Drosophila melanogaster: one gene and its partners. The protein of the gene in region 3 purifies or fractionates together with the protein of the main gene of each other region. This does not show direct contact. Each region holds a gene or a part of one and is shown on either strand. Other genes may lie near its edges. The genes, in order: Dcr-2, Sym and Cpsf100.

Region 1 (7,783 bases), on a different chromosome or scaffold from region 3:
TAGCTTGGCCTGGTCCTTATTGCTCCCAAATCCGTACACCTTGATCGTCTTTTCCATGCAGGTAAATTGACAACTAACCATTACAGTTTCCCCTTCGACGATGGGCGAGCTAAACACGGGCTTCGCATGCTTGTGCTCAACGAGCTGTCGTATATGATTGATGGGCACTTTGCGCGTGAACTCCTGAAGCTCCGGCTCGAAGAGATTGAAAATTACCTCCCAAGTACGTTGGAGATCTCGGCAGTCCAGGTATACGGCTGCAATAAGGGCCTCCAGAACATCCCCCAACGCCTTTGGCACATCCACGTTTGTGGACATGTTGAACTCACCTTTTGGTGGGACTCCTTTCTCTGCTTCCTGAGAAATGCATTTATTTGCATGCGGTAACTCAGTCATATCCAATTCGTCATCCAAGTCCAGCGGAGTCGGCTGAACATCAGCTTCCTCGAGCAGAATGCGCACATAGTTGGTAACCCGGTGACCCTGGCTCTCCTGGAAATTCACGAATTTGGATATGATCTCGGAGAGCTTTGCGTTCTCCGCTAGGATAAAAAAGTGCAACCGATGCCGCACGCAAATGCAGGCCAGCGTAGTATTGTTGACCAAAGCGGAACGCAGATCTGTGAGGGCGCCCGGATTCATTTTCGTATTGTTCTCGAAAATATAGGCAGAGATTAGAAAGTCGAGTATGGCATCGCCAATAAATTCCAGCTCCTGATAGGACCCAGTGATGCGATTAGTGGGATACGAGGGATGGGTGAGGGCCTGCAACAAATATCGTCGATCCTTAAACGTGTAGCCAAGATTTTTTTCCAAATAATAGTGATTTATGAGAAAGCCGTCAATTTCTGTAGTATTCACGTTCGCCCGCATTTTCTTGCCGCCCAGTTCGAGGTTCAGTAACTGAGTAAGCGGCTTGTCAATATCCGCACGGCAAATCTTGAAGTACTCTAGCATCTTGAAGGCATGCTGCAATCCGTAGTTCTTAACGATTACGCCCAATAGCGCCTCAAGGGTATCGGCTATCACCTTGTTGGGAATCGTGACCAGTCCCACGCAGAAGTTCACCTCGGATGAAAAATCGGCACCGGCATAAAAGGACTGCCCATTTGCTCGACATCCCTCCACGAAGCGGTTGTAGTTGATATCGCTGCAGTTGCCCTTCACCAGGGACTCCTCATCGCCGAGAGCCAAGTCACGGAGATTGTGTGGGCCAATAATCTTTGCGAATTCCGGATTTTCTCGCCACAAGGCTAGAACATTGTGGGGCAAACTGATGCCAGGTGGAAGCCATGTGTATCTAGGCGTAAACTGAATGGTGTTGAGCGTTTTGGGAATGTCCGCGTCGATGAGGCAGAACAACAGGTTACGATTAGACACAAGCTTGGATTTGACCTCTGTAAGAGTGCCCTCATTCCAATCCGAATACTTGCTGGCCAAGTAGAGCGTGGCACTAAGTTTTAAGAAGGAATCGCCCAGAATCTCAAGGCGTTCCATGTCGAAAACATCCGCTGCGCTCGAGGCAGTGATTGCAGCCAAAAACTCGCCCTGCTCCGCTGGCGTTATATGTTCTTTGGAAACAGTTTTTTGCAAAATGAGCAGTGGTTTTACCTTCCCGCGGACAGTCGGTTTCGACGGCATCAAAGCTGGCACGTTTGCGTTAGTCTTGGCCGGAGTTCTGTTGCCATAGATATTACCCGTGGGCATATGGAACTGATTTTTTGCCCAGTATTCCTTATCTTCAAAATCCATCTCATTCATCTCACATACATTACCAACGCTAAAATGATAGTAGTAGTCCAGCTCTACGGGATACGTACTCAAAAGATTTCGCGACAGATCAACCGGCTCCATATACTTTTGCCAGGGATTTTCGAATTCTGTTATTTCAAGATTGGCCACGGACGCCTCAATGGACTTTGTGGGCATTGGCTCTAAAAGGGATTTCGGCTCCTCGATATCCTCAGTTGGTATGACATTGCCCAAGGGGTCGACATTCCGCTTTAGCGAATAATCAATTTCTAGTGGTCTGGGCATGTAATCAGTTCCATTAAAAGGCAGCAGATGGAGGTTTAAATACGTATTAAATCGCTTACGTAAGGCCTCTGCGTGGAGAAGGAAGTACATGCGGTTTAAAATGCTGGGTAGGAAGATCAACTTAAGCCATAAATCCCCAGGAAAGTTAAAATTGAAGCATAGCTCCGGAATCAAAATAACTTTCATCTTAGCCTTGCTCTTCGCGTTGAACTTTCCACGATTATGAACGTAGAAAGTGAGCTGTTCCGTAAGGTCTCTGACCTCGATCATAAACTTATCCTTGTGAACAACATCACCAATGCGGTTGCCGTACTTTGACATGGTAAACTCGTAGTAGGTCTTGTCCTGTTGGTTCTTTTCCATATAACTTAACGGTGTTAGCTCACGGTGCACCTTTGTGACCAGCATGGGCTTATCATAGTTGGCATACCATTGTGTAACAATTTTGCCCTCAAAATCTTCAGGACGTGGAGCAGGTTGTTGCTCGCGTTGCTGTACATTTGACCCATGACTTTGCGGTAGTCTTCGGAAGTTGGTCATCAGTTCCCAGTCAAAGCATTTCTGTTCACCCGCACCCAGTATGAGAGGAACTACCAGGTAGGAGTTCTCCTTGCTGCGACGATCCAGCACAAAGAACGGATGCCAAATCTTCAAGATATCGCGGAATACCATTCCGTGAAACTGATGGAGCAGCTCCAGCTGTTCGGAGTTCTGGATAATTACTTCAAGTGGTGCATTGGCCACTCGAACGTGTAGCTTACCCTGATTGCTAAACAGGGGCATCTCTGCAAGGCGTGGCAGCTTGTTCCGCAGCAATATAGCATAATTTCTTGGTGTTTGGAGATTTAAATACATGTGTTCCGTGTACTCACACGATTCAAACTGCGGCTCCAAAAATATTTCGTAGGCATAACAGATTTCACCTACCCGCGGAAGTGCGTCGTAAAACTCTAATGGACATTCGGTCTTGTAGGTTCTGTCCTTGCTCTTATCGGCCTTGTTGACTGTCGCAGTCACTATGGTTGAAAGATTAATATAAGTAAACATATCTTATGCGAGTTCTTGTGAACCCACCACTATCGCCATACTTATTCCAGTGCTCAAAATGAACATCAGCAATAGAGGCTACGCGCTCCTTTAATGTTTTGGGCACGAATCTCTCGTTTAACTCTCCCAAACTGTAGAGTACTTTACACGCTTTGAAGGCAGCTGATATTTTGGCTGTTTTAACATTGTCCATGGGATCGCTCTGAAAGAAATGAAAGCAATTAACTCTATTTGATTTTGCCATTTTCAATCTGAATCTCTAGCTTACGTAAATTGTGTCTCTTAGCATGCAATTTACTGGCATGTTGATTGAAATTACGTGCTTGCCCTTGGCAGAAACACCAAATATTCTATCACGTTCGTCTTCTTGCAATACATGGAACCAGGGGATCACAAAGCCAAAAGCATCCGTGGGAATTGTCTGGCAATAGCGATGCAGTATGGCCAGGGCATTGTTGGGAAGCAACACGGCACCGTTCTCATTGGTAAAAGGGTCAATATCGTCCTGGAAGTGCCCTTTGATTTCGTACAATTCTGGCTCAGTTTTTTCTAGAACTCGATCCTTTAAATATTCGGCAATGTCATTATGCGCTTTTCGATACTGATAAATTTGCTGAATTGTCTTTTCCCTTTCCTTATCAGCTGTGAACAGCACGAATTTGGCCTCAGTGGTACGAGCCCGACCCTTTGACTGCACGTACATGTTAAAGGTTTTAACAGGATCAAGAATAAAGACATGATTGCAGGCCTGCACATCGATGCCTTCTTCTAGGACGCTTGAACATATCATAAGATTGGCATTACCGTCCCGAAACTGCTGAATGGCCTGCGAGACGGTAAGAGCATATTTTGAAAAATATCAGCAATTAACGATAATTTCCACACCTACAGATTTTTGCCATTTTCTCTCCAAGACGCTCTCAAAGTCTGGAGAAATATTGTTGCGGCCCACCATGAATTGGGGCGTGAGCACGTTTCGCAGCTCAGGCGTAGACTGGATGTAGTTGAGCAGCAAGCCATAGATGCACTTGCAGGTGTAGCGGCGTTCAACAAAGACCAGACAGCAGATATCTTTGGGATCTTTATCAGCGAAGGATACCTTAAGACTCATCAGGAATCGCTGCACTTTCGGGGTGGAGAAGTTCATAATGACTTCCTCAGTGTTTACGTTGTCATCGTCGTCGTCATAAGTCATGTCTTGCAGTTTTTGCACCAGCAAGTGACGGATTTTCTCGCACAAGGTCAAGGCCGTCCTATGCATCAATTTCACGCTTAGCGTCTCGGCCTGGCGCCTCTTTATATCGAACTCAACAATTAACGAGATTATGGCTATGGAAGCTGCGTAGATGCCATACTCTTTCATCTGGTACAGAAAATCGTTGAACAGTTGCTTTACAAAGCTCTTCTTCGACGGATCCCGCAGGCATTGCAATGACTTTGACCTTCGGATCGGTTGAACGCCAATATTCATGAGGTCTAAGGATACATAGAACTTTTCAATTTCTGCGCTTATTAACCTTGTAACCGTGAGCACTTGCTCTTGATGTGGAAAGGACACCATGACCTCTGTGGGCTTGGTGGCGTACCTGAAAAGAATATGCACTTGTTGGGAAACTGTAGCTAAAATGCCACCCGCTCTTACAGCATCACGTTTTCCATCTCCTTGGTGTCGGACACGGTAATGATGTTTCCCCGATATGTGATCTCTAGCTCTTTAAGTTTCGTGGCCACGTTCGTAATTTCATTTCCCTTGATTAACACCCCGGTGAGACCCACCACGCGCGGCAATTTTGTTTGATTAGCGATAGTGAACAATCGCATGAACTCACGAAATGGGTGGTGACCAGTGCCGTGGTGGCACTCGTCTATGATGACAACGCTCAGGGAGCTTAAAGCCACGTACGTCTGGGTGACCATGTCCAAAAAGACCTGGGCTGTGCCAACAAGAACCTGTTAAGAACCAAAAATTACACATGTAGGTTTAATTCTGGAAGCAGTGTATTATTATTAACTATAAATATTCCTCGAATTACACTGAAAAGTCTAACATGAATTCAATGTAATAAAAATGACCATCAAATCTACTACTCGATGATCCAGAACAATCCACAAACTCAAGTTAATTTTAAATAAACAAATAAAATAAATAAATAAACAAATAAACATACTACAAAAAAAAAAAAAAACAAATAAAATACATCAATTGACGAAATGATGATTTTGTGATGGCTTAGCAAAACACGACCCCTTACGAGCCCATAAAAATGCTGATCCCAAATTTTTCGACTCAAGTGGTGATCGCAATTGCAGTGTGTAGTGGTAGTGTAGTGTTTAGTCCGTACGTGATCATATGCGTATATAAAAAATGCCTCCGCCATCCTATACTCACTTGGTTTTTTTTGATTTCATCACTCCACATTCCGCGCGTCCAGTCATCCACTCCCTGTTCACCCACATAAAAGCCAACCTTAAAGTTGGTGCACCGCCTGACGGCCATCGCCTGTTGTCGGGCCAATTCCACAGTATTGCACATGAACAACGCACGCTTTCCGCCGCTTTCGATGGGTCTGTGTAAACAAATCGGAATCCGATATAGGTATTACATATAATAATATATATATAAATGTAAGTATCGGATATAGGTAATACATATAATAATATATATATGTATATCCATTCGCTACTAACTTGTCAAAGTCCTGCGAGAAGCGCTTTAGGACCAGGATGGCCACGAACGTTTTCCCAGATCCTGTGGGCAGGTAGACAATGCCATTGCTCTTCGTTAGGTGGTCAACCAGGCGAAGTTGATAGCCGCGAGGCTGGAAAGGATTTTGTTAATTATTTTGCAATAAGCGAGAGCGCAAGCCAATTCATTTTACCTTGATTTCCACATCTTCCATATCTTCGCTCTTGGTTACAGAGTCTTCGGGATATTTTGATATTACAATTTGAAGTCAAATAATTTACGATTAAAGAACAAAGAAGCCGGTGACAGAGTGGCCAGCGGCTCTTATAAGATGCCTTGTGTCAAACGTATTAAGAATTGTGTTTCAAAACGGACTGGTCACACTACGCAGTGCGGTTCTTTGAACTTAAATTATTACCACAAACCGCAACATAAATAAATTTGTTTTGAAATGCTCGCTGCCAATAATATACCTTCCGGAAATAATAAACGTTTCCATTTTTATCGAAATCTGCAACAAAATAATAAGCATTTTCGGTAGTGTAAGTTCGTGAATTATTTATTATTTGAATTCTTAATCAATACCAATTGTTAAGAATATATCACATCACTTTTTGACCCATACTATCCTTAGATCATTTAGACCTTCGTTTGCAGCCCTCCTCCATACGAGTAAAGTTTCTTATTTCCTCATTTTTTTCCAAGACTTAAAATCTTGTCAAACTAATTAGAATTATACTAATTGAGTCTAATTAGAACTACACTGACGGAAATGAACGAAAATTCAATCGGGTAGTTTATATACATGGTGATTCTACTTTATTGATTATGCTCTTCACTTCTTATACATAACATTTTCTTATTGGCTTAAGGAGAATATGAAAAAGTATCGCTACGACTAAGACTACGCGACATCATCACGTCTGGCTCTTGTCATCACTTTTGACACCCTTTCCTCCGGACAGCAGGTCCTGGATTTCGATTATTGTCTTGCCCTTGGTCTCCGGCACGAAGAACAGAGAGTAGAAGAAGGCGATGACCGCGATCGCGGTAAAGATCCAAAAGGTCGGACCCGGCCCGATCGAGCTCTTGAGGATTGGGAAGAGCAGCGTGACCACGAAGGCCGACAGCCAGTTGCTGGTGCCGGCAATCGATCCTGCCACACTCTTCACATCCTCCGAGAAGAGTTCCGCCATCACCAGCCACGGCACCGGTCCGAATCCAATCGAGAAGAAGATTATGAAAATGCAGATACTGCTGATCGGCAACCAACCGAAATTGTCCATTGAAGCCGGATCGTTCTCCTTTAGCTGAAAGTACACGCCCATCAGTGCAGTGGACACGGCCATCAGAACGCCAGAGATAAGGAGCAGGATGCGACGGCCAGCCTTGTCGATAATGGCCACGGCAACCAGCGTGCTGGTCACTTGGGTGACTCCAATGATAAGCGTGGCATCGCTGCCACTTATGTCAGAGCCCGTATCCTCGAAAATGGAGGCGGAGTAGAAGAGAACGGCGTTGATTCCCGTCCACTGCTGGAAGACCTGCAGGAGCACAGCGATTCCAAGACCCTTCAGGACGATGGGTCGACGAAGGGAGGACAGAATGTTGACCTGCAATAAAAATAAGACCACGTATTATTTTCTAATCTTCACCAAAATCAATGTATTTATTAGGTATGATAAGTAGTATCTGCTACACTGATTACTAAATGGAATAATGGAAACAAATTACGTACCTGTGTTCATATGTAGTTTAACTACGAAATCGTTTAAGTTTAATGCAAACCCTATCTTGGTTCAAGTTATTGAAAATCTTAATGAATGAAAACAAAATATTATATACTATCTGAATTTACAACATTTCTTTTATCAGGGTAAGTATATGTATGTATCACTTCCGATTGTGTGATAATGGAAAGAGTAATAAATCTGTTAAAGCCCTGCGAACCCTTTATAAAGTTTCTTTATGCCTTCAATATCGATCGATTTTGATTGATTGATTGATTATTAG
Region 2 (6,420 bases), about 23 Mb from region 3:
CTAACCCCGGAGACTAAGGAAATCTTCAATGCCACTGCCTTTCAGAAGATGAAGCCCAACTGCATTCTTATCAACACGGCGCGTGGTGGCGTTGTAGACCAGAAGGCCCTGTACGAGGCACTGAAAACCAAACGAATTCTAGCAGCTGGTCTGGATGTAACGACGCCGGAGCCATTGCCAATCGACGATCCTCTTCTGAAACTGGATAATGTGGTTATTCTCCCCCACATTGGCAGCGCTGACATCGAAACGCGCAAGGAAATGTCCCGGATTACAGCCAGAAATATTCTTGCTGCCTTAGCTGGCGATAAAATGGTAGCCGAAGTAGAGCTGTAAGCCGTGTAATCTCAGCGTACAATGAATTTTTTCCACATCTTTTTAAAAACATCTGTTTGTAATTATGTACAATGTTCTAATTAAATATTTCGTACTTTCAAAGGTATTTTAAAGGTACTGAAATTATTGAAACACTTGTATTACGCCGATGACAGTGCTCGCAATGAACTGATCCGTAAATGGTCGTGGCCACTCAGAATCGAAATTTTTGTGTTATTTGCGTGGGGTATACTCCCAATCTTTTGATCATTAACAAACAAAATTATATTCCTTTATAATGTATGTGGGTGCGGTCAAGACCTTGGTTTTATGTATTATCGCCTAGAACAGTGAGTTTATAAAATTATAGACCTTATCTTATTAAGTAATTTAAAAATGTGTATGAGCAAACAAAACAATTAAACTGCAACTAGTCCTCGCCAGGCGGCAGGGGCTGGTTAAGATCACTGCCTATGGGGGGAGGAACTGGTAGTGGTACTAGAGACGTCAGTACGGGCACTGTGGAAATGACACTAATTTCTGATGGATCCGGTGCCTCTTTTTTAATATGCTCGGCACTGATGTAACCGCCGCTTTCGTCCTGAAAAGAAGATACTCGTATGTAGTAGCTGAACGTCTTCGATATTGGTTCGGTATTTGAGTTACTATTATTTCATTTAAGACTAAATCAAAAAATGCATAGTTACCGTCACGAACACATCAACTGATTTCCCGGAGATGATGTCCAGAACCTGCTGGGTTATACCACTACCATTCATTGGTTCATCCTGCATGCTCTCCGCGTATTCCGACAATGCTGGCCTTAAATCGGGGCACTGCTGCAGTGCGTCCACCAGCTGGGCGGGAGGAAGGTGCAGCAGGATCGGCATTGACTGCGGTTTCAGGCGCTGCACGGTCTTTAAAAAGCCCTCCCAGATTACTTTTTGCCGCCAGACCTGCTTGATTATCAGACGCTGCAACAAGTTCATTACAAAGTTTGCCAGACGCGGGTACAGAGTTAGACTCTGAATTGTTGTGCGCATCATCAGAGTAGGCAGCGGAGTAACCTCTACAAGCTGTTGCAGCACAGCCATAAGTACCTCCTGTGTGTACAGATCTCTTTCAGCCAAACATAGGGATGTAGCCTTAACGATGGCTTTAATATCGCAGACACTCGTATCGATGGTGTGCAAAGCCACGAGAATATCAGTGGGGGTCATGGCCATCGTCTGATGCGCGAATTCGGCACCGATACCAAGCAATCGATTGAAAACCTCCTTGACCACAGCGGGATTAAGTTTAATCAGCTTCGGCAGAACGGAAATTAGCTCGGATCGGGTTAAGCCACTTAGCACGGGTATCATCACGCGCACATCCTTGACCTTGTTCTGGTAGAGATCCCGAACCCGCCGAACCAATTCTTCATGGGGGGATGGCACTCGCTCTGTCAGTATGTAAATTATACGGATCACTAAGGTCTCCATACCCTTAGGACAATCCTCGATTAGTTGCAGCAACGTCGGGCTTTCTACACCCATCTTTTTTATGGGAATATCTAGACTGCGCAAGATCGTGCGTTTCAGTTCGGCAGATGTAGAAACAAACACTTGACAAATTTGCTGTAAGTAAACTATCAGGGGAAGAGAATATTAAGAAATTGATTTAATAGTTTTTTTCTTCTTTAATACGGGACAGCAACAACTTACCTTCCGGTTTATAGGGCAGCAGGGTAAAGGCCAAACCAAAGCACACCTTGGTAGTGTCTTCCCGCCAATCAGGCTCCTCGGTTGGTCGACCAAAGTCCTGCGAGAAAACAGCTGCCGGCGGAGATTCCTGTTCGATAAATTTAAGCCACTCCAGAGCGAATTCGTCTATTCGAGCCGGTAGTATTTTGTGTACATGGTACAGACTGACCAGGTGGGCCTGTGCCAGATCCCGCAGATCCAGTCGCTCATGCACAGAAAAGTTGAGCAACACTCTAACGAAACGATTCTTTCGCGGCGGCCTAAGCACTGCAAGGTCCTTGATTAGCTCCAGGCCGTGCTGGGAGAACTCGTCGTCCAGGCTTAATTGAACTAGATGTCCAATTGAGACTTCCGGAAGAATGGGTGCTTCTAGATATACTCGACGAATCAAAATAATCTTATCCTTGTGATCGCAACGCTCTCCAATGCCGAAGATAAGCTTATTCAGCAACTCGTTGTAGGCGTGATCGGGTCTGTTCTCTGTCTTAACATAAGTGTGCCTTGTAAATCCTTGCAGCAGAGAGTACTCCTCAAAGAGCCAGGAAAATGCCAAATCGATACGCTGTTTTATATCCTCCAGGATGAACTCCATGATGCCGTAACGTACGTTATCGGGAAAGGTGGCAGCAATCACGGTGACCAGCTTACGGCGCTTTGATGACACTCCTCCCTTAATGCATTGCCGCTCCGAGTTGAGGATGCGACGCACTGCATCAGTTAGGAACTTCTCTTTTAAGTTGCGTGGCAGAGGCTTGGTGATCTCCTGCAGCTTCAGCGTCTTGGCGCGCTCCTTCATCTTTTCAATAACAGTCTGCTCACCCTTGGCGCGCTCCATGGTCTCGCGCAGCTTCTTGGTTGCTTCCTCCTTACGCTGAAACTCTTCCTCACTCAGTTTTTGAACAGCATCCTCGTCCACTTCCATTGCAGTTAGTGTTGATTCAATCGCTTGCACTTTCTTAACCCGCATTGGCGGCTCTCGACTGAAGGTTGCGGCACCTGGGCCTAGGCGCTTTTCAGATAGTTGTTCGCCAAAAAATCTGGAGATATTGGTTACCTGCTGCTGAATAGACATTTCGCGAATGGGTGTATATTCCTGAAGGAACTTTTGTGGCACCTCAGTGGGCAGACTGGGCAGGAACTCCAGCACCAGGGTCACAACAGTTTCAGGATTACGGAAATGCTCTGCCAGAAACTTTTCGTTAACTCGAGTAGACTTCTGTTTCTGTCGTTCCAATTCCTCAGTGTCTAGCTCCATTTCTCGCTGCTGCTGATCCTGCTGCTCACAGGCCAAGCGCGCACGCTTTGCAAGACTTTGCGCAGCATTTTCGAGGATGCGTTTTTGTCTACGAGCCATTTCCTGTTTGTCCATTTTGGGAATAAGCTTCTGGATCTCATTTGTGGAGGACCCCAGATCAACTAACATTCCTCGGATAGTGCTTGCAAACTCAAAGGCACCGCGGTTCTTCAGCAATGTCTGCAACTGCATCTTAAGGCTCTTACGCACGGAGCTTACTTGCGAGTCAGTGAGGGTGGGCGGCAGGTTGGCATTCAGCTGCTTAAAGGCTTCCACCACGGCGCCCATGAAAATGGGTCGCATTTTGGCAATTGTACACAAGCTGCTTGTGCAGGCAATCAAGTTCACTGAGGAAATATGCGTTGTTCCGTGGAACTGAAGCAAGATATCTAAAATATTGTTGCCCTCCTCTTGCAACTTTTCACGGCGGAATAGTGTGCAGTGATCGGGGACATCTGCCAGCGAGAAGTCTCCATCTCGTTTCAGACTGTCCTCGTCAGCAAAGCTCTGCAGAACCACGACGCCCTCCAAGAACTTAATGGCATTTGTACGTATGCCGTCGTTTTCATTGTCGATCATGTCCAGTATTTGCGCCTTGATTAAGCTGAGGATGTTCCACGCCTGCTCCGCACTGTCGCCGGGCTCCATGAGGCTGCACAAGTACTGCAATCCATTCTTGTAGATGCTACCGCAGGCTTGGATCACTCTTTTGATTACCTGAGCCGAGTTATCCCTAAGCAGCATAGACACGACGTTAATGACATGGGGCAGTAACTCCACCTTCACTTTACTGGGATGGAAAATATAAATCGTTTCAGCAAGAAGTTAGATCCTTTGATGGAAATCCTTACCAAACTTGCTCTACGAAGGCGACTACCTGCTTGCGAACCTCCATGTTTGAGTCGTGGGCCAAAGACAGCACGGACTCCAGGAATTCTTCGGCCAGCTCCGCGCACGATCCAAGCACAGTCTCCTGCACCTTAGCCAGCAGTTCGCACTTTGTCGAAGGCGATGCGATGACCAGCTCATTGCACCAATCGACCACCTGAATGGGAAAATATATGGTACAATACAGCAGTCCGGACTGTCTTGTCTGATTAAGATTTGTGTTCTACCTTAGCTCTTGCCGTAGCTGTCTTCTCGTCTGTGAACAGATTGGCCGTCTCCGAGACAAACTGGCTGCGTCCAATTATGCTATCCATGTTTGGTTAATTGATGCAGATTTTGCCTAAATCTGCGATACTTCGGATATTTTTAAGAGCTGCCGGCACGGATGGCAAGGTGTTATCGGTACCATTGAGAAACTATCGAAAACGGTTCTATGATGTTGGTAATTCTGCATATTTCCGGACCATCTAGCTATTTTTTGCCAGCTCTTAATGTGTTCAAAAGAAAAAGAATATTTTACTAAAAACTTGGCTTATAATCAAATGAACCGCCTGCAAACTAATTTTCCTTGCTCGTTACCGTATAAAAAATTAATAAATCACATAAATTAAGCCATTTTTGGCATATCTCAGCTTAACGCGTTATTATCGATGAGCATGCCGCAGTTGCGCTGGCCGAGCGATATGCGGGGGTGACTATCGATAAGCCAGAGGCATCGATTTGCTCACATTTCTTGGGTGTTTTAGCGTGAAAAAAACGCCTAAATAAACGAATCGGCAGCGTGTCAGGCCAGAAAGTGCAACAAACGGATCGCAGTTCGCGACGCAGTCGAGGATTGGAACAGAAGACGCCGTCGAAGGTGCCGAAAAACGTCCCAGCAACCGCCAGCCGTCGCAGCGGAGTGTTTACTGGGCGAGGGGTGCAGTGGATGAGCTGTGTGGGCGCGTGCGTGTGTATGTGTGCGCCAGTGAGTGGGGCAGAGGCAGCGGCAGAGGAGCAGCGGCGGATGTAGCTCGTTGCCCGGACCCCGTAGTGGATACCACGAAAAGCTAGCGCAAACGTAGGCAGTCCAACAAAGAAAATAAACACTGGAAACCGAAGACGACGAGGCCTTCTGGAACTGGAACAGCACTGCTCAACAGCCGCAGCCGCGTCGGTGACCGCACCCTAATGTCAAATAGCCAAGCGAATGCCGGCATCAGCGGTAGCACGGTAGCGGATGAACCCATCCAGCACCACCCTTCCTTGGCGGCCGGCCCCGTAAGTGCATCCTGCCCAGCAGCGACCCCGCCGTCGCAGTCGACGCAGCAGCCCCCGCCGCACATAGTTAGTGCCTCAACAGCTGATGCGGGCAGCAGCGCTGCGGTCGGCGTCGGCGTCGTAGCTGGCAGCGAGGGCGTCAATCTGGACTCGTCGCCACGCGAGTCCGGGGACGATTCGGAGGATGAGAGCGAGATTTTGGAGGAGTCGCCATGTGGACGCTGGCTGAAGCGACGCGAGGAGGTGGATCAGCGTGACGTACCCGGTATTGACTGCGTCCATCTGGCCATGGACACCGAGGAGGGCGTAGAGGTCGTGTGGAATGAGGTGCAATATGCCAGCCTACAGGAGCTGAAGTCGCAGGAGGAGAAGATGCGGCAGGTGTTCGACAATCTGCTGCAGCTGGACCACCAAAACATTGTCAAGTTCCACCGCTACTGGACGGACACGCAGCAGGCCGAGCGACCCAGGGTGGTCTTTATCACCGAGTACATGTCGAGCGGATCGCTGAAACAGTTCCTCAAGCGCACCAAGCGCAACGCCAAGCGGCTACCGCTGGAGTCGTGGCGCCGGTGGTGCACTCAGATTTTGTCCGCACTCAGCTATTTGCATTCCTGCTCGCCGCCCATCATCCACGGCAATTTAACCTGTGATAGCATCTTCATCCAGCACAACGGCCTGGTCAAGATCGGCTCGGTGGTCCCGGACGCGGTCCACTACAGCGTCCGGCGCGGCCGAGAGCGGGAGCGTGAACGCGAACGAGGCGCCCACTACTTCCAGGCGCCCGAGTACGGCGCCGCCGACCAGTTGACCGCCGCCCTCGACATCTACGCCTTCGGGATGTGTGCCCTGGAGATGGCCGCCCTGGAAATCCAGCCCAGTAACAGCGAGTCAACTGCCATCAACGAGGAGACCATC
Region 3 (4,911 bases):
ACAACAGTTTGGGGCAGTTTCTGGAACGCCGGACGCTGGGGTTACAAGTGCTGCAAGTCCTTCATCAAGAACTCCTACTGCGTGGGCATGCAGGAGCCAGAGGGCTACTCGGAACATCATTCTACGAGCTCCACTGCAGCGGCTACTACAGAACCTGCAGCTCAAAGCCAATTCAAGGTACCAGAAGTGCCACCTGAAAGGCCCACTTCCGAAGTGGACTCAGCATCGAGTTCGGAACCCTCCTCATCCGAAGAGGAGGAGGTAAAACCTGAGAAGAAGAAGACCAAGAAGAAGTCGAAGAAGCGCGAGAAGAAAAAGAAGGCTAAGGAGCAGCGAAAACAAAAAGGCAAGAACAAGGAGACCAAGGACAAAGATAAGACAAAGGAAAAAGATATTCCCGAGGAACTGGACGATCGCAAACGAGCCTATAACAGCATGTATGATGTGAAGGCGCCCACAGAGGACGAGATCGAGGAGTGGAAGAAGAAGCGGCCAAGGGCAGAAGATCCCATGCTGCAATTTATGTAGGCAATAAAGTACAACTGATTCTCTTATATAAAAACTTTCTAATCTTAACAAGTAAAACATTAGGGGCTTACACAAACGTCATTTTGAATATTAAACGATCGCATACTGCTCGTACAGCAACTCCCTGATCTTGTAGTACTCCTCGGATAAGCATCCCTCCATGGCTACCTTGCCGGCATCCACTCGCCTCAAGGCCAGAGTTCCGTTGCTGCACCAGAGCACGCCGCCGGAGAACTCCGAGTTGATGTTATTACGCATGAGAGTCTGCTTAAAGTCGGACAGTTTCAGCTCGTTAATGAGCACTGAGTTGTGGATAGGAATCTCATCGTCCGCCAGTGTTTCAAGAGTCAATGTCTTGCCTTCTTGCACGGAAGCGTCCTGCTCCACAGTTACGTCCATGGGTGCTTCGATGGCCTTCACCCGCATGCCCAGGCGACCATCCACCCACGCCACCTCCGCGTCCTTGCCCTTTTGGAACTGCAGCTGGGAGACAAGTCCTTCCGTCAGGCGTACCTGATAGATGTGAATCTCACTGGTGACATCAATGATTTCCCCCTTCTGCGGAGTAAAAACGCGCGCACCGACATTCTGTTCGCAGTGCCTGGCCACCACTTGTGTGCCTTCGGCAGTGCCGTGTATGACGATAACCCTTCGTGGCCTCAACTGGGAGAGGATCTTTAGCATGGACTCGCCATCAGAGCGACCTTCGAAATCGATCCTCTGGACTTGGGCATTCACCTCGATTGTTTTGCGTTGGCTTATCAGCTTGGTGGGCTTCTCCAGCAACTGAACATCATTGTCGACGATTCCTCCGTTAGCCTGTTGTTCTGCTCCTATGCCCGGTTCTTCCTTTTTAACATTCTCCTTGTTTTGCTCCTCCATAGGTACAAACTCATAGCCTGTCGCATCCGCAATCCGGTAGTCGTCTAGATTGATGATCTCCCCATACTCATCGCACTTCACCTTTTCCTCGTGATAGGGGAACATCACGTGGTGTCGTTTGTTGGACTTGAAAAAACCGGAGTGATGGCGACCCTCCGGTCTGACCACAATATCATGCTTGCCCGTGATGACGCTCATCTCGATGTCGTCCTCGGACTCGGAACTGCTCTCTTCCTCCACATCGGGCTTTACGATAAGGGGATTAAGTTTCTCGCCCTGTGTGCGTAGGTACTCCTCCAACTCAGCTCCTTCTAAGTCAACTCTTCGCCTGACGTCCAATTCGATTTGCTTGCCCGGTGCGCAGTTCTCCACCAGTTCCATGGCTAAAGTGCCGGGAGACGTACGAGTAGTAAGGATTATGCTATTGTTGGCATTGCTGGCCCATTGCACGAAGAGATCCCTCGTGAATCCGCTCTCCAGATCTGGGGTACTGGCCAACACCACTTTTGGACCAGCGGGCAATTTATAGACGTCCGCCAGTGAATGGCACAGCTGGATGTGCTTGAACTGAAAGGGATTGTTGCGGGCACCTTCGAAAGCCTTCGTGAGCTTGTCACTCATCCATTCTATCTGCGACTTGGCGAACTCAATCACGTTGTAGCTCACATTGTTAAGAAGGGCCAGGGAGTAGGCCATTAGCCCAGATTCCTTGTTCTTCCACAGCTGGTCCAGCATGTGGGCCAACTCCAGGACTCGTCCTGCCGTATCCACGGCTATCAGGACATTGCCGTTGTTACGCACCGTTTGCAGGATGTTGGTCATTAGCTTTTCATCGCGGGCCCTCCTTCTGGCCTGCTGGTACTGTGCGTTGTAGGCGTCGGTAATGAGCAGCGAAGGTCTTTGCAGCCTGTCCAGCTCGCAGCCACTTAAGTGGCGCTCCTTCTTATGGTTGAAGTCGGTGGCGTACACAATATCCTCCTCGCCCACCTTGACGATCTTCCAGATGGTGCCGCCGATCATGTGTCCAGCGTTCAAAGGCGTAATGGATATTCCATATCCTTTGTCCTTCAGTGAAACTGTTTGGTTGTATTTCAACTGGGTTATCTTTTCGAAAGCCGTGTCCACGTCGTCCAGCGAAAATAGATCGAAGTCTCCCATATTGAAGTGCGACATGTAAAGGTCATACATAAACATTTGACCCATTTTGAACACGGGAATGGTGGCGTAGATGGGGCAATTGAGCCCCAGCTTGCCCACCAAGTATGGCAGGGCTCCAAGATGATATGCATCCGGATGGGATAGCAGCACGGCGTCCAGGGTGTGCACCTGCCTGGGAATACACAAAATATTTAGGTTATTGTTTTCCTGAAATATGTATACAATTGTCACCTCTTCAGTTCCTTGATAAAGTTGGCATCGAACTTTTCGTCCCATCCGCAGTCAAGTAATATCCGCACATCGTCTATCTGTAGGATATAGCATGGCGGGGACTCGTCCATCGCCCCAGATATAGTGTGCAGCTTGATAATGGAGGTCATTTTTGCCAATTAAACCACCGGTGCATTTGTTTAAGAAATTGTAAAAGGAAACCAAGAGTTCTTCGCCGGTTCAGGGATGGGAAACTGTCACGGCGTTGCCAGAGTGCTGTTGCTTTGTTTATACAGTACGTACTTGTTGAGCGAACAGTACAACCCGATAATAAACAAAGATTGACATTTTAAATGTTATAAATTAAAAACTTTGATTATGTCTCTCATGTATTAACCATACATACATATGGCTACAACCTTCTTCAGTTCAATTACCTTCTCTTTAATGAGTCAACATTTATAACTATGCATCCTTATCAATAGAAGTCTCAACAATCTAGTATAAGTAAACACAACTTTTTATCAAATTATTGTTTAATTAATAAGGGTGGGGTAGAGTCATGCCGTTTTAAAGAACCATGGATGCCCAATCGGTTGCATACTTTTTATAAAAACAACTTCTTATGCTATTTTGTATTAAAGGCATCCTAAAAATTGATTTCATAAACATTTTCTTTTTGGTTAGTAGACTTTAGTTGTTCGTAAAAACCATTTAAAAAATTAATGAATATTATGTGAGAAAATAAACCAAAAAAAAAACAATTCGAGCTGGTGAAGTTTCACTGTCTGTTGGTTTATGCGTTGCGTCCCTGGTCGTCAGCTGTTATTCGCCAACCGGCCGCGAAGATTGCGTCCGAAATTAGGATGCGGAGTTTCCAAAGATCGCACTGAGTCAACTTTTCCTGCCAACAATGTTCGTGCGGCTCTGGGTCCGCAGCTTCCATAAATATGATCTTCTCATCGCCATCGGACTGATCACTCTCATCGTGTACCTGTGTCTGCCCTTCCGGTTCGCATCGCACTACGACTACATCGAGGAATCAAAGATCGAGGGGGCTCTGGTGCCGCAGGTGACCAGAAATGTCTCCCAGCAGGAAGTTTTCGAATGCACCTACTCGGAGATCATTGCCGAAAACCGGTTCGTCTACCACCTGGCCCATTACCATGACGCGGTGCAGAGGGGCGCGGAGATCCGTCCTGGCGGCGAGTTCCGTCCGGAAGGATGTCAGGCTCGCTACAGCACCGCCATCATTGTGCCGTACAGGCAGCGGGAGGAGCAGCTGCACGCCTTCCTCACGTACATGCACAATTACCTGCCGCAGCAGCTGATCCACTATCGGATTTTCCTGGTCGAACAGTTCGATCATAAGCCGTTTAACAGGGCGATGCTCTTCAACATTGGCGCCCAGGTGGCTGCGGAGTATGGATTTCCCTGCCTCATCCTTCATGACGTGGACCTCCTGCCACTGAATTCGGGTCAAATATATGCCTGCTCCGAACGTCCACGGCACATGAGCTCTGCCCTGGATCACTGGCGATTCCGACTGCCTTACCGCGGTCTTTTCGGCGGCGTGGTGGCCATCAACACCGCCCAGTACCAGCAGATCAACGGCATGTCCAATCTGTATTACGGCTGGGGCGGAGAGGACGATGACCTCTACGAGCGCCTGCAGGCCCTGAATATCGACATTTGCCGATTCGCAATGGAGTTCAGTAAGTACACCATGCTGAAGCACAAACAGGAGCAGCCGAATGCCAATCGCGTGGCACTGCTGAGATCGGCGACTCTGCGCCAGCACGCGGATGGACTCAACTCACTGGTGTACACGGAAATGGAGCGGCGAATGCACAGTTTGTTCACGCACATCCTGGTTGATACCTGAGTGCCAGTATTTGTTATTGTATTTAGCTTGTAGGCCAATCGTTTTCGTAGTCGGTATCTCGAAGTGTTTTATACTTGGCTGCACTTCGCTTCGCAACCGATTAGTTACCGCCTTAGACAATGCGTTCCGAATCGATCGTGATATCTCACTCACTAGGCTAAGAAGCTAGACGGGAATGGAGGAGTCAAAGCTGTAATTGAAGTACAATGCAGAAGCCTCAGATTAAGCGGATATCGACATGTTAAGCA

Evidence for each region.
Region 1: the proteins of Cpsf100 (region 3) and Dcr-2 purify together in Drosophila melanogaster (affinity purification with western blotting; one study listed by BioGRID). This does not show direct contact.
Region 2: the proteins of Cpsf100 (region 3) and Sym purify together in Drosophila melanogaster (affinity purification with western blotting; 3 studies listed by BioGRID). This does not show direct contact.

What each region holds. Positions count from the first base shown.
Region 1 is NT_033778.4:17,575,443-17,583,225, forward strand, and holds the start of Dcr-2 (Dicer-2), read right to left. Parts: upstream 6,084-7,783; 5' UTR 5,985-6,083; coding exon 5,964-5,984; intron 5,904-5,963; coding exon 5,773-5,903; intron 5,652-5,772; coding exon 5,474-5,651; intron 5,035-5,473; coding exon 4,727-5,034; intron 4,671-4,726; coding exon 3,974-4,670; intron 3,911-3,973; coding exon 3,353-3,910; intron 3,287-3,352; coding exon 3,112-3,286; intron 3,054-3,111; coding exon 1-3,053. Other genes in the region: CG6484 (uncharacterized protein), read right to left, coding at 6,688-7,383.
Region 2 is NT_033777.3:5,737,573-5,743,992, forward strand, and holds Sym (symplekin), read right to left. Parts: upstream 4,905-6,420; 5' UTR 4,557-4,904; coding exon 4,470-4,556; intron 4,400-4,469; coding exon 4,206-4,399; intron 4,145-4,205; coding exon 2,022-4,144; intron 1,946-2,021; coding exon 1,023-1,945; intron 917-1,022; coding exon 746-916; 3' UTR 606-745; downstream 1-605. Other genes in the region: CG1236 (uncharacterized protein), read left to right, coding at 1-336; Madm (MLF1-adaptor molecule), read left to right, coding at 5,413-6,420. UniProt on the Drosophila melanogaster protein: Component of a protein complex required for cotranscriptional processing of 3'-ends of polyadenylated and histone pre-mRNA. Involved in germline stem cell transit amplification, differentiation and mitosis-to-meiosis transition.
Region 3 is NT_033777.3:29,032,700-29,037,610, reverse strand, and holds Cpsf100 (cleavage and polyadenylation specificity factor 100), read right to left. Parts: upstream 3,039-4,911; 5' UTR 2,949-3,038; coding exon 2,800-2,948; intron 2,741-2,799; coding exon 619-2,740; 3' UTR 549-618; downstream 1-548. Other genes in the region: Slu7, read left to right, coding at 1-528; beta4GalNAcTB (beta1,4-N-acetylgalactosaminyltransferase B), read left to right, coding at 3,692-4,663. UniProt on the Drosophila melanogaster protein: Component of the cleavage and polyadenylation specificity factor (CPSF) complex that plays a key role in pre-mRNA 3'-end formation, recognizing the AAUAAA signal sequence and interacting with poly(A) polymerase and other factors to bring about cleavage and poly(A) addition.